Arabidopsis thaliana: one gene and its partners. The protein of the gene in region 3 purifies or fractionates together with the protein of the main gene of each other region. This does not show direct contact. Each region holds a gene or a part of one and is shown on either strand. Other genes may lie near its edges.

The links. Proteins that work in one complex are often made in the same cells at the same time.
Region 1: the proteins of AT4G18300 (region 3) and AT4G31480 fractionate together in Arabidopsis thaliana (co-fractionation; one large-scale study listed by BioGRID). This does not show direct contact.
Region 2: the proteins of AT4G18300 (region 3) and MAC3B fractionate together in Arabidopsis thaliana (co-fractionation; one large-scale study listed by BioGRID). This does not show direct contact.

The regions. Positions count from the first base shown.
Region 1 is NC_003075.7:15,261,279-15,268,419, reverse strand, and holds AT4G31480 (Coatomer, beta subunit), read right to left. Parts: upstream 5,267-7,141; 5' UTR 4,345-5,266; coding exon 2,230-4,344; intron 2,003-2,229; coding exon 1,493-2,002; intron 1,401-1,492; coding exon 1,315-1,400; intron 1,241-1,314; coding exon 1,036-1,240; 3' UTR 1,035-1,035; intron 952-1,034; 3' UTR 529-951; downstream 1-528. Other genes in the region: AT4G31470 (CAP (Cysteine-rich secretory proteins, Antigen 5, and Pathogenesis-related 1 protein) superfamily protein), read left to right, coding at 6,117-6,674. UniProt on the Arabidopsis thaliana protein: The coatomer is a cytosolic protein complex that binds to dilysine motifs and reversibly associates with Golgi non-clathrin-coated vesicles, which further mediate biosynthetic protein transport from the ER, via the Golgi up to the trans Golgi network.
Region 2 is NC_003071.7:14,125,613-14,133,111, forward strand, and holds MAC3B (MOS4-associated complex 3B), read right to left. Parts: upstream 5,613-7,499; 5' UTR 5,389-5,612; coding exon 5,376-5,388; intron 5,281-5,375; coding exon 5,195-5,280; intron 4,948-5,194; coding exon 4,876-4,947; intron 4,790-4,875; coding exon 4,727-4,789; intron 4,389-4,726; coding exon 4,302-4,388; intron 4,153-4,301; coding exon 4,011-4,152; intron 3,922-4,010; coding exon 3,800-3,921; intron 3,552-3,799; coding exon 3,435-3,551; intron 3,088-3,434; coding exon 2,992-3,087; intron 2,911-2,991; coding exon 2,851-2,910; intron 2,506-2,850; coding exon 2,431-2,505; intron 2,337-2,430; coding exon 2,232-2,336; intron 2,002-2,231; coding exon 1,885-2,001; intron 1,788-1,884; coding exon 1,710-1,787; intron 1,621-1,709; coding exon 1,536-1,620; intron 1,435-1,535; coding exon 1,383-1,434; intron 1,256-1,382; coding exon 1,185-1,255; coding exon of another isoform or gene 1,180-1,184; intron 1,109-1,179; coding exon 972-1,108; 3' UTR 529-971; downstream 1-528. UniProt on the Arabidopsis thaliana protein: Probable ubiquitin-protein ligase which is mainly involved pre-mRNA splicing and DNA repair. Component of the MAC complex that probably regulates defense responses through transcriptional control and thereby is essential for plant innate immunity.
Region 3 is NC_003075.7:10,116,856-10,121,765, reverse strand, and holds AT4G18300 (Trimeric LpxA-like enzyme), read right to left. Parts: upstream 2,983-4,910; 5' UTR 2,915-2,982; coding exon 785-2,914; 3' UTR 508-784; downstream 1-507. Other genes in the region: KAT2 (potassium channel KAT1-like protein), read right to left, coding at 3,289-3,407, 3,490-3,979, 4,082-4,267, 4,359-4,391, 4,483-4,581, 4,680-4,910.

The DNA of each region.
Region 1 (7,141 bases), 5.1 Mb from region 3:
TCGCAGGCCCAAATATTGATTGTTGACAAGCCCAGTCCAATAGAAGTTGAGAAAGCATAGCCCCTACTTTTTTATTGTTTCCAAAACGACCCCAAACTTTTAAAAGTGAGCGTAATTAGGAATTATGTCAGTTTTTCCTTGAAACGTGCTCCAACTTTCGGTTAGAGATGGATGATTTTATGATAGAAGATGATGTATTTGGATCTTTCCTCTTCTACTCGCGTCTAGTATTTTCTTGTCTAATGATGTTAGCGATATCTAGTTACGCGAATGTGTATGTGATCGTCCCTTGGTACCTTGAGGCAAGTGATTTAAGATTATTAAATTTTGCTTAAAAATTATTGCTTGGTTTTCTTGAGAATAGAAAAGGCTGTAAGAATCAAATGTTATGGGTTTGGTTGTGAAGCAATTGGTTTCTTTGGCTTGTAGATTTTGAATATGGTCCATATTAATACATGCGTTTCATTACAACTTACTTGCTAACATAACCCGTATTATATAGCTACTAGCAAATTAAAGTCTAGCTTTGACAATTGAATAGTTCACTTCAAATGCATATGAAAGAAAAGAATAGAGATCAAATCTGAAATGACGAGTTCTAAAATGGAGCAAACCAAATGTAGCTTTGAAATCTACAATATCATAAAGTTCACGGTTTAAAGTCCTCAACAAACGACATTATAGAAGAAAAAGCATTACAAATAAAACAAAATCGTCTAGTACAGTAAAAAACACACTGCCATATGAGATGAAGAAATCCATCGGTACCATACCAGAAAATATACCGGTTAAGTAAGAACGATAGCCAATTACTCTTTTTACATATACCCTTGAACGCCTCCTCCCTCCATATAATAAGCAGATTCAACCAACGATAATTGCTCAAGAGAAACGTACGTAGTCTAAACCTGTTACCTTTGCACGCCACTGTGAGAAATCATCGGTATGGTACTGAAATTTAGACCAATTGCGGTTTAAGGATTAAAACATGTATTAATCGAGAAATAGAATATGTTTTGAAAAGATTAGCTAACCTCAGCTACTACCCTTTTGTTTGAGGGTGATTTTGTCCCCAAGACTTAGGGCAATCCCTTGCGTCTTGCTCCTTATCCTTATGTAACCACTCAATGCTCCATCCGTTTGCTTCTCAATACTCACATTCACAAGAGCATCCTCACCAAATACACTTTTTGCGTATAAGTTTGCTGCAAGGAATCCACATTCGCCTTCTATTGCGGATCTGCAAGTAAAGAAGTATTAATTAGTAAGAAGAGTTTTTCGTTTCTACAGGATGAAAGAAGAATTTACACTTACGGAGCAGTGAGACATTTCATGTTTGTAGATTTGATAATGTGGTCGAGGAATTCTCTTTCGTTTTGTATTGTGGTGTTCACAGCAACCTGACATAAAGAATACAACAGGAATTGGTTATACCAAACTCCAACAAACATACGAAAAGAAGGTACAACTATAAAAGGTTTCAATAAATTACCTTGTTTTCCCATTCGAACTCTGCCCACATAGTTCTGAAAGCAACCTCTGAACACACAGCAGGGGAGATATAGTCCATGATATCAATGTGTATGTCATTAAGAACAACGACGTTTCGCTCCATTACATTTGATGTCTCATAGACGATGTTCCCGAATATGACTCCCGTCTCTGTGGACGACACCTTGATGTTTGCTTTAATCTGCATGCTTCTTTCAGGTGCCAGACTGTAGTTCTGAGGACGCTCAACAAGTTTGAGATCACCCATGGTTGCTAACTCCAAGCACAAGTTCTGAAGGGTTTCCTTGGTTCGGTTGATTACTGTAACTTCAAGAGCAATATCATAATGGTGTACCGTCACATATGCTTCAGCATAGACTGGGTCACTGAATCCTGTGAGTTGAAGAATGCGGTTAAGTTTGTTAGCATCGTTCTCGTCCTTGGTGAATTCTCCAGTTGCACGCTTTAGGTCATCTTGTACTTGGTCTTCCAACTCAAGTTGACTCATTCCCTGAAAGAAACTTATCGTCAGTAATTTCAACTACTGACCGAAATAAATAAACATAACATGCCACTATCAACTTTCGAACTTTCTTTGAGAATGCGAAAAAAAAAATTGGATATGAACTGTAAGAAAAAGTAGACACCAACGTAACAGAACTGAACAGATTGAAAAGGAAAACTCATATGGAAAAAAAAACCCAATAAAGCAAAGGGAAGCTTAGGAAGTAATAATACCTTCCGACTCTTTAGATGGAAGAAGTCAATTAGATCATCAGGTTGAGCATGCGTTGTTTGGGTCTTCGCCTTCAGTTCCTCCATCTCTCTAAGCTGTTTTTCAGAAATCATCTTGACAAAACTCTGGCGGCAGGATTCTAACCATATCTTTTTCATCTCATCATTCCTATGGCAAAGCAATTTTATGCACAACACAATCCTCTCATACGAATCATTATCAATAGGGTGTGGAGAAACAGGAGATTGCCCAAGTTGCAACATAGAAACCATGATCAACAAAGCCTGTGTGACTGTCTTATTTACTTCAGTTTTAGAAGACTGAACCTCTTCTAACCTAAGAACAAGTTTGGTCAACGTGCAAGCAACCACTGCTCCGAGGAAAAAATCACCAGTTAGTAGCAGTGCTCTCAAATTTCCAGAAGTCAGTGATCCTTGAACAACTGTAGGTGAGGAGAATGTGGTTTCAGAGGCTGCGCTTTGGGTAGCATAAGTTCCATCAGCAAGAATCACTGGCTTTCTAGAGGACACCATGGCAGAAGAGGTAGGCTGAATCTTCTTTGATGTCTCAGTTGGCTCAGACTCCTCAGAAACAGAGTAAAATGGTAATTCGCCAAGGCATTGCGTGATAGTTGAAATGCCACTCTCAACTTCCGAAAGTGATAGGCAATACTCCCCAATTATCCAAAGGGCACAAGGGCAGACCTTTCCTGCTCGGATCTGATAGAACGTGTCCAATAACCTTGTGATGATTGAAACTCTTAACTTGGGATTTGTTTCTATTATCTCTCTAACAAAAACAACCACGTCAAGAGCTGAAGCCACATTGCTATCTCCCAAGAAGTCCATCAGAAGGTGGACCACTGTGCTTGCAACTTCGGGGAACTTCACTGCACAAGCGTGGATGGCTTGAATAAGCATTTGTCTGTACTCCCCATTCTTCTCAAGTTCTCCACTCTGTGTCTTCACAACTTCTTTCTTCAACATTTGAACGACCTCATTGATATTATGATGGGTAATCAAGTCAAGGGAAATGTCAAGCGTCTTCCTGCGGATATCAAGGTTTGGGCTTGAGAGTGCTCTGAGCACATCTATTATCAACTCAACCATGATATCTCTGTGCAATGTCTTAAGCTCATACAACCGATCGAGTAAAATAAGCTTCACATTGTTGTCACTCTGAGAAAGAAGAAGTTGGCAGTAGGTGTTGGCAGCAGCCCGAATCGCAGTAGGGGCAGATGAGAGAGAAACAAGTGTCCCAGCACATTCATAGATAACTGCAGAAGAAGTAGCACTTAACAGAGAAATAATAATCTTAATATATTTCCCCTTCTCTGCTGGTTTAGTCTTACACACACTTCGAATCAACTCCAGCACCACCATCTGAAGTGATTCATTCCAGTCTGAAACCTTGTCAACATTGCTCAGAAGATAATTCACTGCACGTTCTTCAGCACAGGTAAAGAGCATTAGAAATGCATTTCTCTTGGCAGAAGGATCTTGTTCGGTTGATAGAACTTTCTCGATCATTTCAGGCGCATCCACAAAGAGTTGGTCGCCTTGTGGAAGCTTATATATCGACATGATGGCCAGAATGGCATTCCTGCGAACAAATGGATGGCGATGCTCCAGATTTTGTAACACTGATGGAGTTAAAGGCTCCACAATTTCAGTCTCCTTCATCCGGCAGAGAAACCTCAGTGTCACTCCACGGATGTACTCATTAGGATGCTGAAGGTTATTACGAAGATTCTGGCATATCAAAATCATTTCAGGTAACACCTTCCCCTTAGAATCAGTCTTTTCAATCAGCTCCAGGTACAGCAACAGAAGCTTTTGGATTGTGTGGTCCTCAGAAGGTAGCACATATCTTATAATGGTTATGAAAAGCTGAGGAATGGTTTCACCATTCAGCAAAAGCATAATTGCCTTCTTCATGGCATCAACTTTAGCTTCAACATCATTTCCTTCGAGAGCTTCTTTAATCTCATTAGCAACTGCTGGAGTCCCTTTGTCATAGTGAACAAGCATGGTACTAGATTTGTCCATCTTCTCCGGTGCTGCACAAAAAGTGAAAGAGAAAAAAATCTGTGAGCTCAAATGAAAAGGAAAAACCATTCACGAACAAGTGTTCCTTTGTTAATATAAGAAATAGAAGATGAATAGAGCAAAATTGTTACAATTGATTAAAGACATAATGAAGTATAGATCACAAGTAAAAACAAGATATCAAAACTTTTAATATTTCTGGCGATTTCAAGTTCGAATTACTGAATATAAGCACCTTACTAGTGTCCTCATCAGTGCTAGAGTAAGTTCTATACAAGAAGTTCAACAGTATCATCGGCGATAATCCATACCTCTCTGCTTGGATTTCAATACATTGAATACATGATCTCTATTCTCGAATCCGTGGTTTATGAGAAAACATCATAATTTCAGAAGAATATTCGGTAATGTCCAATCAGAGACCCAAAGATGCAAAACATTGACAAATCTAAATCCTCAGATCCAGCAATACACATCACTGTACTACAACTACGACCAAAATAATAACATAAAAACGAAAAATCAGTTAAAACAGCTTCGGATCAACCAAAATTCAAAAAAAAAAAAAATGCGATCTATCTCCCCAGATTAGATGAACAAACAATGAAATCTACATAATTCGCAGTCTCACTCAGCTGCACAAACATGAAAATCGGTTTCCTACCGGAATCAGATCAATATTCAACGAGATCAAACAAAGAGCGCCAGAGAATAATTGAACATTGTAGATTTTCACAAAGGAAAAGGCAAAAGTGGGATCGATCTCTATGAAATCTGAGTCGCAAGTTTAACACAGAGAGACAAACCTCAAAGGTACGAGATCCAGGGAGAGAGGAGGAGGAGATCCACAGTAACACAGCTTTGGATCCAAGAGAAGATTTTGGATCTCGGAAAACAAAACACTCGCACCAAGGAAGTGAGAGATCAAATGTGCTTAATATTATGGTGGTGGATTCGTCAGGTGAATTAACTCCTCCAAATCCTTTTGGGTTTGATTTTGGAAAACGAAGAACGGAAAAAAGCGAGTCAACCTCAAAAGCCCAAATATTGATTAACGACAAGCCCAGTCCAACAGAACTTGAGAAAAATATAGCCCCTATTGTTTTAATTGTTTCCAAAACGACCCCACACGTTATAAAATAAACTGAATACTGAAAGCATAGGACACTTTGGGTCAGAGTTTATAACCTAGCTAACAAACGGTGGTCAACTAAATTGATTTTTTTCGTCTATTTGATGTTCTATATAATATAAATTTAGTTAATCAACGGTAAGCTCAATGACTATAAGCCTCACAATACAAATTGATCTCCAAGGAATGTATAAGATTTCTTGAAAACAAGGCATCCAAATTTGTATCACGTTCTCTAGCACACCATCTGATACGCCTCATAAATCTGCATAGTAAACATGTTATAACTAAACAAGTATTTTAAGAGTGGTCAAATTAAATATCTAACTTAGGTTTTCATTTGAATGAGTTTGTATATAATGTTTTATGCTTGGGATATATTCTCGTTGCTATGATAAAGTCTCTTCTTACAAGAAAAAAAGAAAACATCCTATTAAAACTTCCTTCATATATAATGATCTATTAATTAGCTCAATAATGTATGCTTTGTTTGAATAAAATCATTCCCTACAAATAATCAATGTTCCACCGAAATGATTAGCACTTGTCATTGCGCATTATTAACATAGCATGTGTTTAGATTCGTTAGATGATATATACGTACAAATATGAAAGCATAAACAATTATGTGTGTGTGTGTATATATATATGGTAAGGATCGTACTAGCTAGATCTAGAGGCTCAGAAACAAATCTAACTTAGCATCCCAATGGAACAAAAAACTCTGATATTCATCATCATTATCATAGTTATCAGCACTCCACTTCCTTCTCTCTCTTTTCAAATCCCATCAAACAGAACACCGACAACATCAACACTAATTTTTTCTCAAGACAAAGCTCTAGCCCGCAACACCATTCAGCAGCAGTTTCTCCGACCACACAACATCTTACGAGCCAAGCTTCGTCTCCCTCCTCTCAAATGGAGCAATAGCCTCGCCCTCTATGCGAGCCGGTGGGCCAGAACCCGCCGTGGAGATTGCAAACTTATCCACTCCGGGGGACCTTACGGGGAGAATCTCTTCTGGGGAAGCGGAAAAGGTTGGACTCCACGGGATGCGGTGGCTGCATGGGCCTCGGAGATGAAATACTATGACCGGAGGACTTCCCACTGCAAGGCGAATGGGGATTGTTTGCATTACACGCAACTTGTATGGAAGAAGAGTTCGAGGATTGGGTGTGCAATCAGTTTTTGCAAGACCGGTGACACATTTATTATTTGTAACTATGATCCTCCTGGTAACATTGTTGGACAACCACCCTTTTGAATATTGTCTACACTTTATCTTTACCTTTATTTTCCTCAACTATGTACACTTTATCTTTGTTAATGTGAAATCTTGTTTTGATTCTTGTATGTTAGATAACGAAAATGATGAATTACGTTTTCTCTTGTCTGGATGTCATATATGCTAAACCTTTCGGGTAAGGTTTCATTTGTTATATAAGGCACCAATAAAACACATGATTTTTAGTGTTGCAATTTGTGTTTTGATATATCTTTGTTGCCGTAAAAAAAACAATGTTTGGCCGGTTTGATTGTGTTTCGGTTGAGTTGGGAGGACCGAGGTTCTTAAATTTCAATTCATGTTGACTTGGTTTGGTCTATGTTTTTTTTTTCTTTGGGATAATGGTTTGGTCTATGTTAGATGTTATTGACTTTTTATCCGGATTGACAAATTAGAACCGATTAAAACCGAACCGTAAATTAATGAGAGAATTAATTTGGGCCTAA
Region 2 (7,499 bases), on a different chromosome or scaffold from region 3:
TCAATTCCATTTGATGTTTAGAATTTAGTAATGAAACCCAATAATAGTTACTTTATGAAAACACGTTTTCGACAATAATTAAAATGGAAGACAATTAGTATTATATTTACTCTGATCATCTAAAACTGGACAATTTTTTTCCCAGTAGCTAGTAAGGTTATGTATTTTGTAGTTGTTACTAATTACTATATAAAAAGTTCATCGTGTAGGTATTTCTTTAAGCTTAGTTTATGTATTTTGTAGTTTTTATACGATGATTTGTTCAAGTTATTTTAGTATTTTCAGACAAAATTAAAAAAATAATATAGACAGGGAGAAACATAAGCATTCTTTAGAATTGTGAGGAAACACGTGGTTATACCTTAACACGAATTGTCAATCCTGGTCACAATAAAGAAAGGGTATTACAAAACATTATCTTTTGCGTGAAGTTAAACTAATCCTGGAATTGCAAAAGGAATCACGAATCTGATATTCGTGGATAAATGTAAATATTGTGCCCAGTGATTTTTGACCAAGTACAGTCAAGGGTATTCTTTAACATTTAGTTAAAATTTTGTTCTCAGAGACCAGCTGAAATCATTTGTTGGAATACGGAATACTAAGCAGACCACCACTGTCTAGAACAGATTAAATAATACCAAATGCGGTTTAGCACCATCGGTTTGGGATCTTCATTAGTGTCTGAATTCATTTGGCAACAGAAAGAACACATTTTTTGGTACATATATTGAAGGTACAAAGCGATTAAAAGAGCCTATAAGAAAACTCGAGGGTTTGTGAGTGTCATTGTTTGAATTCCAAGAGGTAGCGAGGATGATCACAATCACCACTCACTCATGACCCGCACCTATGAAATTCTCCCCCATTGCTGCAAATACTGTAAGATACAACAGAACTTGAGAAATTTGAGCGAGATAACACTGGAGATGGACATTTGGAATGTTCTGTCTGAGTTTTTTACGGATTGTTCACGAGTCTTGCGCAGAGTCATCATCGACGTTGGCTTTTTCATCACCAGGAAGACCAAATATCCGTAGGTTACGGTCCATCGAACCGACTGCAACGTACTGTGCATCTGAACCAAACTTCACACACGTAGCTTTACCTGCAAGTGTAAGGGCTTCGAAATTAGCAACATTATCGCTATGTGATCATTGAAGGAGTTAGGTAAGGGACTTTACCAGTGCCGGAGAGATCTGGGAGTGTCTTGATAAGGTTCCATTCAGCTTTCACACTTGCCGTCTGGTATACTCTGCAGCCAAAACACATAAATTGTGTTAACCCAACGTGCAGATTAATCAAGCTAGCTTGGTCTCTTTGGATATTTTCTTTAGCTGAGCTTTGGATGTTTTGATCACTATTTTCAAATGTGTACTCACTTGATATCTGATGCAGCAATACCGAGATAAGATCCGCTAGGATCAAACTCCACTGCACACAAAAAAAAAGTAGGTTTAATCAAAGCGAGCTTATAATACATAGAAAGTTCTCTATCAACAAAATGAGTAGAAACAGATACGATAGTTGTGTACCAGAGTTCGCATCTGCAGATAAAAATGATTTGAAGTTCCTTAACTTGCGCAGATCCCACAACCTAACACCATCCTCTGCAGCTGTCTGTCAATTCCAGGACAAAAAGAAAATCATTCATGTAAGCATAACTTAAGCTGTATTCTCTCTTCTCGTATTTTGTTCAAAGTACTCACCGCGAGGAAGTAACCATTTTCAGAGAAAGATATAGCTGTAACTTCCCCAGTGTGTCCATCAAACTTAGCCACATTTGCCTATTATCAACCAAAAAAATGAAAACTATAATGAAGAACACTGTACACAATTAATAATTTTAATAGGTCATATAGTTTGGAAGCCCATAGTTTTTACCTGACTTTTAACGTCCCAAATCTTAACAACAGATTGAGAAGTACCGGTTCCGAGAATGAGACCATCGGGATGAAAAGCAGCAGCCGTGTAATCTACATTCTTTGAATCATCTGATACCTGAATAAAAACAAGGAATATGACAAAGGCTTTCATGAGTAAAGGAGCTCGTACTCTAACCATACACCGAACCACGGATTTTAGCTGATATGAAAATGCTCATGAAGAAAGTATAATCCACACAATTGTTTCTTGTAAATATATATAATCATTTCTGTTATATAGCATACAGGCAAAGCTAGAAAGGAAAACAGGTATTAGTTGGTTCTTTAAGGAAAGTGTTTAGGGACCTGTGCAAGGCATGAGCCAGAGGACAGATCGTAGAAGCACCATGTACCATCAAGAGATGCCGAGACAAAGTATTTATTTGTGGGATGCACAGTTACAGCTCGCACCTGAATAAAGCATCATTAACTAAAGTTACACAAAAAGTATATGAATTAAAAGAACATGGAACGGACTGTAAGAGTTCCTCAAATTCATCCTTACCTCCGCAGAATGATCATTCAATGTATACCCACAAGCATAATTCCCATCCCCAGGATTCCGCCAGATACGGACTGTCTGCAGGTAAGTCACTAATTTAGTAATAAAAAGATAACTATCGAACAATTGGTGATGTACATCCTCTGTGAAATCGAACAGAGCATCCAACAAATTACAGAGACTTCTGGTGTGAGTGATCAAAATGTGTTTTATAACTCGCAGCAAACAAAGTTTTCAAAGATAGCATCATGACATCTACAGAAAAAGATTCAATGGCTACTAGTCATCTTTTCACAATACAAATAAACAAATGCATCTGCCGGCTACTACTTTTCAAAACGAAGGCAATACACAATGTGGGATTACAATTTCCTATAGAACTAATACCAAGCACTATTCATAAAATATGACATATGAAATTACCTTGTCAGCAGAAGCAGTCAAAACAAGATCAGAGTCGCCTACAAATTTTACGCTTGTAACCTACAAAAGAATCAACACATATCAAGCATGGAGCTACATGAAACAAATTCAAACAAAAATCTAAGGCAAAAAGTTAAAAACCTTCTTCGAGTGACCAGTCAGTGTTGACAAGATTTGTCCAGAAGGGCGATCAAAGAGAACAGCAGTTGCATCAACTCCTCCAGTAGCAATGACATCCTGGTCACCGAATTAAGAAGAAATATAGTTCTGATGTAAATTTTTGCACACCAAAACTTAGCATAATATAAGATCAAAGAAATGCAAAGAATCCCTGGTCGTGGTCGTAATACAAACTATCACACACAGCATATAGGTATGTAATAGGCAAATAAAAATATTATGCAAAAAAGACATAACAATGATATGATCATTCCCCAACCAAGGACTCAAGGCTATATTCAAATAATTTATACATAGAAGATTAGAAGTTTGCCAGTCGGTTATCACATGCTATGAAGAGGCTTTCAGAAACAGAGGAAAATAAGAATAAGGGGATGTGATTAAAAAACCATCAGATGAGGGACCTTAGAATGTAGAATGTCCATCGAACAAATGCCTGGTTTGTTGGTCTTGTGAAGTGGGTGGCTTGATAGCTGAGTGAACCTCTCCAAAGTATCTATTGACGCCAATGTTTGAGGAATCTACAGAAAAATATTAAAATTATCAAGACAGCAGGAACCAATACAAAAAAAATCACAAGACTAGGCAGGAGGGCAACATTTTTTTAGTTAAGTTTCAAACCGAATACTAGGATCTAAATAGATATAGTGAGTATAAATCACATGCCTCTACAAACAAGAAAAAATACATAAACGTAGCAAGTCGTCAGGTCTTGCCTTCTAACATTCAAATGCATATTCAAAGATAGATACGAGTCTATGTGCAGTACCTGTCGCTTTTTTCGCTTCTGGGAAAGAGCAGCATTACAATCAGTCAATTCCGTAATAATTTCAGCTGAAATTCCAGGACACAATTTCTTTGCATCAGGACCCAGTTCCTCGTCAACGGCAGCTATTATACAACAAAAGAGTATAGTGACATGTTACAAGAGGAAAAAATAACTAGCCAATATATTTTGAGTAAAAAGTGTACAATCATACCTCGTTTACCATTACTCAGAGCAGCATTAGCTGTCACAGCTTCAGGGGCCGCAGGTATATGTCTCTCAACCTCGGCCAGTAATTGGCGTGCTTCGTCTCTTTCTTTTTTAAGTCTAGCAATCACACGACAAGCAGAATCATGCTGCAAACAGAAGGTAAAACAGTCCCATCAGTAGACTAAACACACTAAAAGATGAAATGAGTGAGGAAAATAAATCTAGGGTGCATAAAACAAATTTATTGACCATGGCACCTCATAAACTGGTGACAGAAACACACAGCCAAAATTACCTGATACAAGGCATGACTTAGCTCTTGCCTTGCAGTATGTAGTTGTTGCTCCAGTGCAAAATTTGATAGCATCAAACCGTCCCATTCCTAAAAAATGCAAAGCAGCTAAACTTCTCACGCAATTACTTCGAATAATTCATCCCAAAAAAATGAACAATTTATGTTGATTAGCACTCAGAAAAGGAGCAGGTGATCCGCGTAATAATGTTACTAAAGAGAAGAGGCCAATGTGTTCAGTTAAACGAATCTTGTATACATTTAAGAAACAACCTTGGAAAATTTATTTTAAGTCAATCAACCAAACTCTACATGACCAATAACATAAAACATTGTGACATTTCTTAGTGAACTTCCCATTAAGAAAACAAGCATAAATCCAAGAGAAAAGGTAGGAACAAATTTGCAAAAGAACAATTAAAGCTTACATTCTGGAACGTTCCGAGCAATCCAGGGATACTAGCTGTATGCAATGTTTTCGGCTTTATGATCTACACAATTGACAATTACATTAAAAAATCTCAAACAAATATCGTCAACAGTACTTTGCATCAAATAGTTAAAGAGATTACACTACCTCCCCAGTTTTGATGGGAACAATGTCATCAATGGTAAGTGGTTCGCCAGTAACCGGGCACTTCCCATAATCCTACAGAGGAAAATAATTTAGAAGAAATCATTCATTTCCAAGTGGCGTGATAATCTAAAAGAGCTCTCACTGGAGATCGGATCTCATTGGTGCCCAAAAGAATTTCTCGATAATTTCACAGTGCTACAAGAATCATCCGAAGTAAACCAAACAACATCACTCAAATTACGAGAAATCCTTCCAGTGAGAACAAAAAAAACAAGACGGTAAAAGTACTTGGCAGTGCTTAATTCAGCTCAAAGCTTACCGATATATGTCTTTCGATTAGTCGTCTCTCGAAGAGTAATCCTGACTTCGTCGAAACCACTGGCTCCACGGGAACTTCTCCTGAAACTGAAAGAACACAGTGCCGCCACCAACATCAACCATAAGAAAACCCTAAATCGGCATATTGAGAAAAAATAGAGAGAGACGACTGAAAGCTTTACTTGCACAGTTCATCGTAGGAAGAACGAGTGATACGACGAAGTACGAGAACTCAGGTCGATGTAGAACTTCCTGTGAGTGGGGCGGAGCAAGGGTTTTATCTTCTCCGGTCCGGCGCTACAAAGCAAAAACGCGGAAGCCGGGAAATGGTTGAAGAGAGAGACGACGATTAACACTCTCACTTGATATATTAGGGATTCAATTTAATTGGGCCTTTAACGATCACCTTCTTATATTTGGGCTTTTAAATCGATCCAACCATTAGAATTTGAAATTGACGACGTTTTATATTAGTTTTAAAATCTGTTTTAACTCATGTTGAACTAAAATTGGGCATTCAGTAATTTTGGTTGATTCATGTACATTTACTCATTAGATTATAAAACAAACCCATTGTTTTGTTACAGATTTTTTTTTGTTATATGTTGTTGCGACTATGTTTTAATCTAAAGAACGAGCACAAATATCGAATGAGACCGAGGTAGGTTTGTTCTTTGCATCTTAATCGCCTATCTTATACCCATTACCCACCAACACTCCATACTCACCAACAATCAAATAACAATTAACAACATATCCTCGATCACAACAAACAAAATCAACCGTTCAAGAGATCCTAAAAATATGTTCTAAGATGAAAGAATAAGGGATATATGTTTGTACATTTCATTGACAATTAGAGATATGGTTTATCTGTTGGTATATCGTTATGGATTCACGTTGCAAATGCGACCTCCACGGGTTCGATATACAAATTATATACCTAAGGTCAAAATCAATGGTATTTTATTTTTAATGTCTAAAGATAGGACGATGAGGGTACCATCCTAAGCACAATAGCTGTGTCCTTTCTATTTGCATAAAAGTTATATTCTTAGGATCCAAAGATGAAAGCGAACTCTCATACAAATACAATGCTCCAAGAAAAAAAGAAAAAAGAAAAAAAAAACAATGCTCCAAGAAAAAGATATTTATGAAGAAAAAATTATTTTTCATATTAAACCTAGATTGAAGAACGAGCTAATGACGCATATGTATAGTTCATATACGCATGACATTTTGTTTTGTTTTCAACCCTAAATAATACGTACGTATAACGTTTGAGATTATGTAATTAATATTGGTGAATCGTAATTATATATAGATAATTAATGGTTGATTATATATTACAGATGCACATGCATATATAAATTTTCTTCATTTTAGGTATTGGTTTTATATCTTGAAATTAAAGTGGTGGTCGTTTTCTATTTGGATAATGCGTGATGCATATATTGCATTTCAGACTTTATATGAAGATGGTCATATCTTCAAAAGTATCAATTCATCAAATCAGCTTTGATCTTAAGCTGTTTTACTTTTATTTTAATTTCCTTTCGTTAAATTTTAATCTGTAAACAATTTATTGCAATTCTCGTAATCCCAAATTCTGAACTTCTACACCCAGATAATCCTTATAATATGTGTCTTAATCGCTATTATGCACGTGTGTAGTGTAGTTTAAGCTCATACACAATTTTGTGTTCAAAAAAAAAACCTCATATAAAATTTAGTTTGTGCAGACGACTTGAAAGTGAAGTAATAATATTTTTGGACATAGAATAACTAGATAGACTCTTGACAATGATTTTCAAATGGTAGATAGACTTTTGTGACCAAAATAAGATACTGAAAGGCGATGTTGATGTCTCATGATTAGAACAAATAAAAAGAAGAGAACTATATTTTCCATGTAATGAAATAAGTGAAATACAAAAAACACTTAAGATCTACTATAGTAACCAAAAACGCTTTCAAAACCATTAAAATAATATTTTATTTTTATCGGCAACACAAGTACAAATGTAAATCGTGGGCTTAAACAAAAAGTGAATCCGTGTTTACCTATTTGAAGACTATAAATGTGAAATAAACACTCGTAAGTTATAGTTTGATGGATAACACGTACGACTCGTACTTTTGTTTGTGTCTTACGTACCGATAATGAGATCTCGAGCATGTAGCCTGTAGTCTCTACACACATATCTTCTCATATTAATTTTTTTCTGTTATGGACCTTATGGTTATTAGAATAACAAAAGTGTACGAAAGTGAAATATTCTCAATTTTGAATAACAATGCATTGA
Region 3 (4,910 bases):
AGTATTTCTTGTTTGAAGAGAGAAATTTCGTTTGAGAAATATAATAATGTGTGGTGTGGGAAGATCGAATGAAGAGAATACAAGTTTTATAGAAAAACTGAACCATAGCTTTAAGTTAAAAGTCAGGCTAGTATACTAAAACGAATATTTTCGTCAGAAATACATTAACACACACAATCCACTAAAATTAACAACAAAATAGAAAACAAAATGTGATTATGATTTCGTGTTTTCTATCTCATTAGTCAATATCACCATGGTGACGAACTCTCCAGCCACCATATTTCCAAGTAATTCTATATTAAGTAACTAAGCTTCTTTTTAACTTGATCATAGCCGTCAATTTTTAAGTTTGTTACACTTTCTCTTCTTTTTCCGCGTACCCTAAGTCCATGTTATGAAGTTACCAAAGACGGTAATAATGTTTTCAAGACGTAAGGACACAAAAGTAAAGGTTGAATTGGGAAATTTGGAATAACACCGTCACAAGTTAAGTTTCGTTTGAGACTCACATTTAAATCAACTTTACTCTATCTACAAAACGTTTCGTATGAATTCTTTTAATAGCCTAGTCAACATATCTCTTGCACATGCAAGTATACAACAAACCCTTGATGGATAGATTTATGGGAAATATCTCATTCAACAACAAACCTAACAAAAGATTGTTGATGATGCCAGTTAAATAACAGAGTACTACTATCTTAAATGTAAATTATCACTTTACAAAATAGACTGTATAATGAAATCACATTGCAACCTATCGAAAGTCACGCTTACCAATCTAACTATCTTCTTCTTCCTCCTCAGATGCTTCCTTGAGCCACTTTATGAATGACTCACATTTATTCAGATAAACTTTGTCACAATCGTCTGCTCCTGCTTTCTCTTCCCCCCATCTCAAGATCGCATCTTCTTGCACCACGTCTTTGTCATACAGAAAAGGCAGAAGTTTAGCAAACAAAGGGCTCAACTCTTCAGATTCCTGACACATCTCTTCGAATTTCATTATCACTTCTATCTGTGCATCAGTTTGCTTTAAATAGAACCCAAGAACTCCCTTCCATTTAGTTATGACACCCATCGCGTTTCTGTACAATTCAGTAGCAGAATTATGTGGACTCTTTACTGCCAGTCTCATCATAGAGTAGAATACTGCTCCAGCACAATCTGCAGAGTCCATGTTGTACGCCAACCGGTGTGAGTTAATCAAAGGAATTACAATGTCCGCTTTGTTATCCTTTTCAACGGCACTTAAGAATTCTTCTTCAACCTCTCTCTCAAAGTCGCCATAGGAATCATTTGCATCAGTGTTAATAATATCAGTATCAGATTTCAACTCTCCAGAAGGTGGGACAACAATGTCATCCTCTATGTCATCATCGTCCATGGCCCCAGTGATATCGGCAAGTTTATCCATGGGGATTGGTACAACAGAATGTTTCCACTCCTCATCATGAGCGCTGTCACATATTTCCCAGATGTAACCTGCTCCATCAGGACCAAGCTCAGATGCTTTGGACTCAATTTGCAAATTATTTAGGCCTGACGAATGATCTGCAGTCCCGCTGCTACTATCAGCATATTCCAGCTCTTCATCGCTGTCTTCTGTAGTTGGCTGTTGAAGTAAAGAGACCTTTGAATATGCAGGTACAACAAAGTCCCGCCCAACTACAACACTGAAAGACAAAACAACACCAGGCTGCAGAACAGCTCCTGCTCTGACTTTCACACCATCACAGACAATAGCGTTCCTTATCTCACACCCATCTTCAATCGTAACATTGTTCCATATGTATGAGCCTTGTATCACCACATTTGATCCAATACAACATCCGTTCCCAATAACAGAGTTATAGATTTTACCTCCATTACCAATTTTGGTGCCATATCCAATGACAGTGGAAGCTCCAACATCTGCAGTGTGTGATTGAACTGCATCAGAAGCCCGGTATATCCCCCGTCTCCCGAGCTTTACAGGGCGATTCCCGCTGAAATCGATATTAGGTACGTACGGGTATGTCCACCTCTGGATTATATCCTTGCTAACAGTGTCATAGCTCCGTAAATTGTCGATCCTTGCAGCATAACAACTCGACTGAATCTCATGAGTGAAAATCTTGTAACCCATAATATCATCAACAAGCAAACCATTAACAAAATGACGGCGCATATGCTGATAATCAAAGTTATCCTCAAAGAGACTAAGCACCTCAGGAGAACAAATGTCAATGTAACAATCCTGCATATCACTGCATAAAACAGTACTATCCAACAAGGACTTATCTAAGCAAAAGTCCCCGCCTCTCGAATTACATTCCTCGTAATGAAGAAGCTGTTTCGTTAAAGGATCTACTGCAACAAAGAGTTGATCAGATCCTATTCCTAGTCTAGACTGCTTCTTAAAAACCATAGTCATGATAGCTTTCTCATCTTTCTTCTTCCTATCTCTATGTTGTTGAATCAAATCAGCAAGTGGCATATTACTAACAGTATCACCACTAACAAGAACAAAATCACCTTGAATCTGCGACGTCTCTGTCTGTTGTTCATAGATATAACGCAGAGCATCTCCAACACTGGTGGAATTGTGAGACACTATCGTTCTCACCAACAAGTTTGGGTTTGGGCGTGTGTACCATTCCGATTTCTTCAGGTAATCGATGATCTGCGACGAATGAGCACAACAGAACACAAAAACCTCTTCGATCCCAGCTGATTCGAGCCATGCTAAAGTGTAATCAATCATCGGGATGTTCACTATCGGCAATAGTACCTTTGGTCGTTCTAGGGTTATGGAACGGAATTGAGTGGTGAAGCTGTCGGCTAGAAGAATGGCTTGTAATCGTTGACGACTTAGATCCTCTGAATCCTCACGAACCTTAGCCGCCGCGGGTTTCTTCTGAGCACCCATATCTCCGATCAAATTCGATTGAAATGAAAAATTCACGACAGACTTCAAAATCAAATCCTCGCATGAGAAAATCTTTGATACAATTTTTTAAGGGGAAAAAATGTTTATTTTATAATTAACTAGGCCTAATCTCATTTATTAGTAATTAAACTCATCTAAGCCCAATAAGGCCCAATATATATAAACTCGAATGTAAACGTTTACGCGGGAAATGCTCTGTTAAATTCAGAATTCTGATGGATTAACATTGTCCAGTTATAAGTTCTCTAGGATCTTCTTTGATGATCAAATGTTTTTCTAGTAAAAAACATTACATTGCCTGCAGATATACATATACACTCTATGGAAAGAAAACAGTGGTTACTAAAGTCTTGTTAAGAGTTTTCATTGATGAGAATATACAAATGATCACCATCTCTAATCACATCTTCATCATCTATTTCTGCGTTTTCCGCATTCGTGACCTTTGTGAAGCTGTATCCAAATTTTTCACCTGCACCATAATTTTCTAGTTTACTTTACTTCCTTCTTATGTTCAGTAGTTTCTTAGAGAATTAACAAGTAAAAGAGCTTACCTGCAAGTCTTAGCAACTCTTCTATGGAAGCAGGAAGGATTATCAGCTTCGACAAATCTTTGTCCCGGGACTTCAAGTGGATGGTAACTCTTTTATCTTTTGGTTTTGCAGCTTCATGTTGTTTGATTTGGATGTTTGATCTGCAATATGGATATGCTTCCTGTGAATGAAATTCAAATGAGGTAAGATCTGCATCAGAGCAACCTTTTCCATCAAACTCTTTATTTGGTTTTTCTCCTTCTTCTATCTCTATCGTATGTTCTCGAACTCTTTTCGTTTCGCCATAACCAGATCTTCTTGAATCTCTCCATTCAGTTGACCCCATATCAATATTTTCTGAATCATGCAGTTGTAAATATTTGTGCCCATGTCCTTGATCACTAGCGTTTCCTTCTCCTGTCTTTGAACCACCAACAAGCCACTCCTTGAGAAGTGACTCTGGTTCTGAATTTGGATCATCAATTGCTATTGATTGTTGCCCTCTAAGTTTCTACATATATCATCATGAAATGAGTTCGTATTGATTAACATCATTGTGAAAACATCTCTGAAATAAAATTAGTTCCCAGGATGTTATATCATTCTTACTTACCATGAAGAGGTTGTTCATTATGACTCGTCCATCTTCGACATGAGCTCGCATAGCACTCATTAGAGATTTTTTGCTTATCCGTAGTATCTGAGATAGTTCTGTTGTCCTAACTGTGAAAGGTTGTGGTGTATAGCATAACACACCAATCTCTCCAAATGCATCGCCAACAACCGCCTTGCCTTGAACCTACATGAATGTGAGGATTACAGTCATTTCTCTTTTTTCAGCTAAGAGTTCTACAGTGAAGTTCTTTTGGTGATATATATTGTTCACATACCTGATCTTCTTCGCCAACGTAGACAGTAAAATCCTGCACAATCACCACATGAGCGAGTAAAACATGTTAGAAGGTAACTTCAACATTCCTATACAATTATTTATTTTAAATTTCATTCACTCACCACTGCCCCTGAGACTAGGATGTAGAGGTCAGTAGGAGCTTCGTTCTGTAGTATTACATCTTCTCTTGGTGGGAAATATTCGGCGTCTATATCTGAAACCTTGGTCAGAAAAAGCATATCGAGTTGGTTGGTAACTTTATGGAACATTATAACAGAAAGAGATGGACAAAGAAAGAGTTAACAAATGAGTGTTTTACCAACTGAAATAGGAAGTTGCGAGAAACTCCGTGAAATAGGTAGACGTTCTGAACGATTGGGAAGAAGAGATAGTTTGCAATGCTTGACCGGATTGCTTTCGGCAAACCATTTAAAGCTTCTTGTTGTTTCAGACCCTCTGTTTTAAACTTTAAGCAAATGTGTGATAACATTTGGTCTTGTATGTTTGGTGGGAGTTGGTTTCTTGATGCAAACTCTGAAGCAGCTCTTAC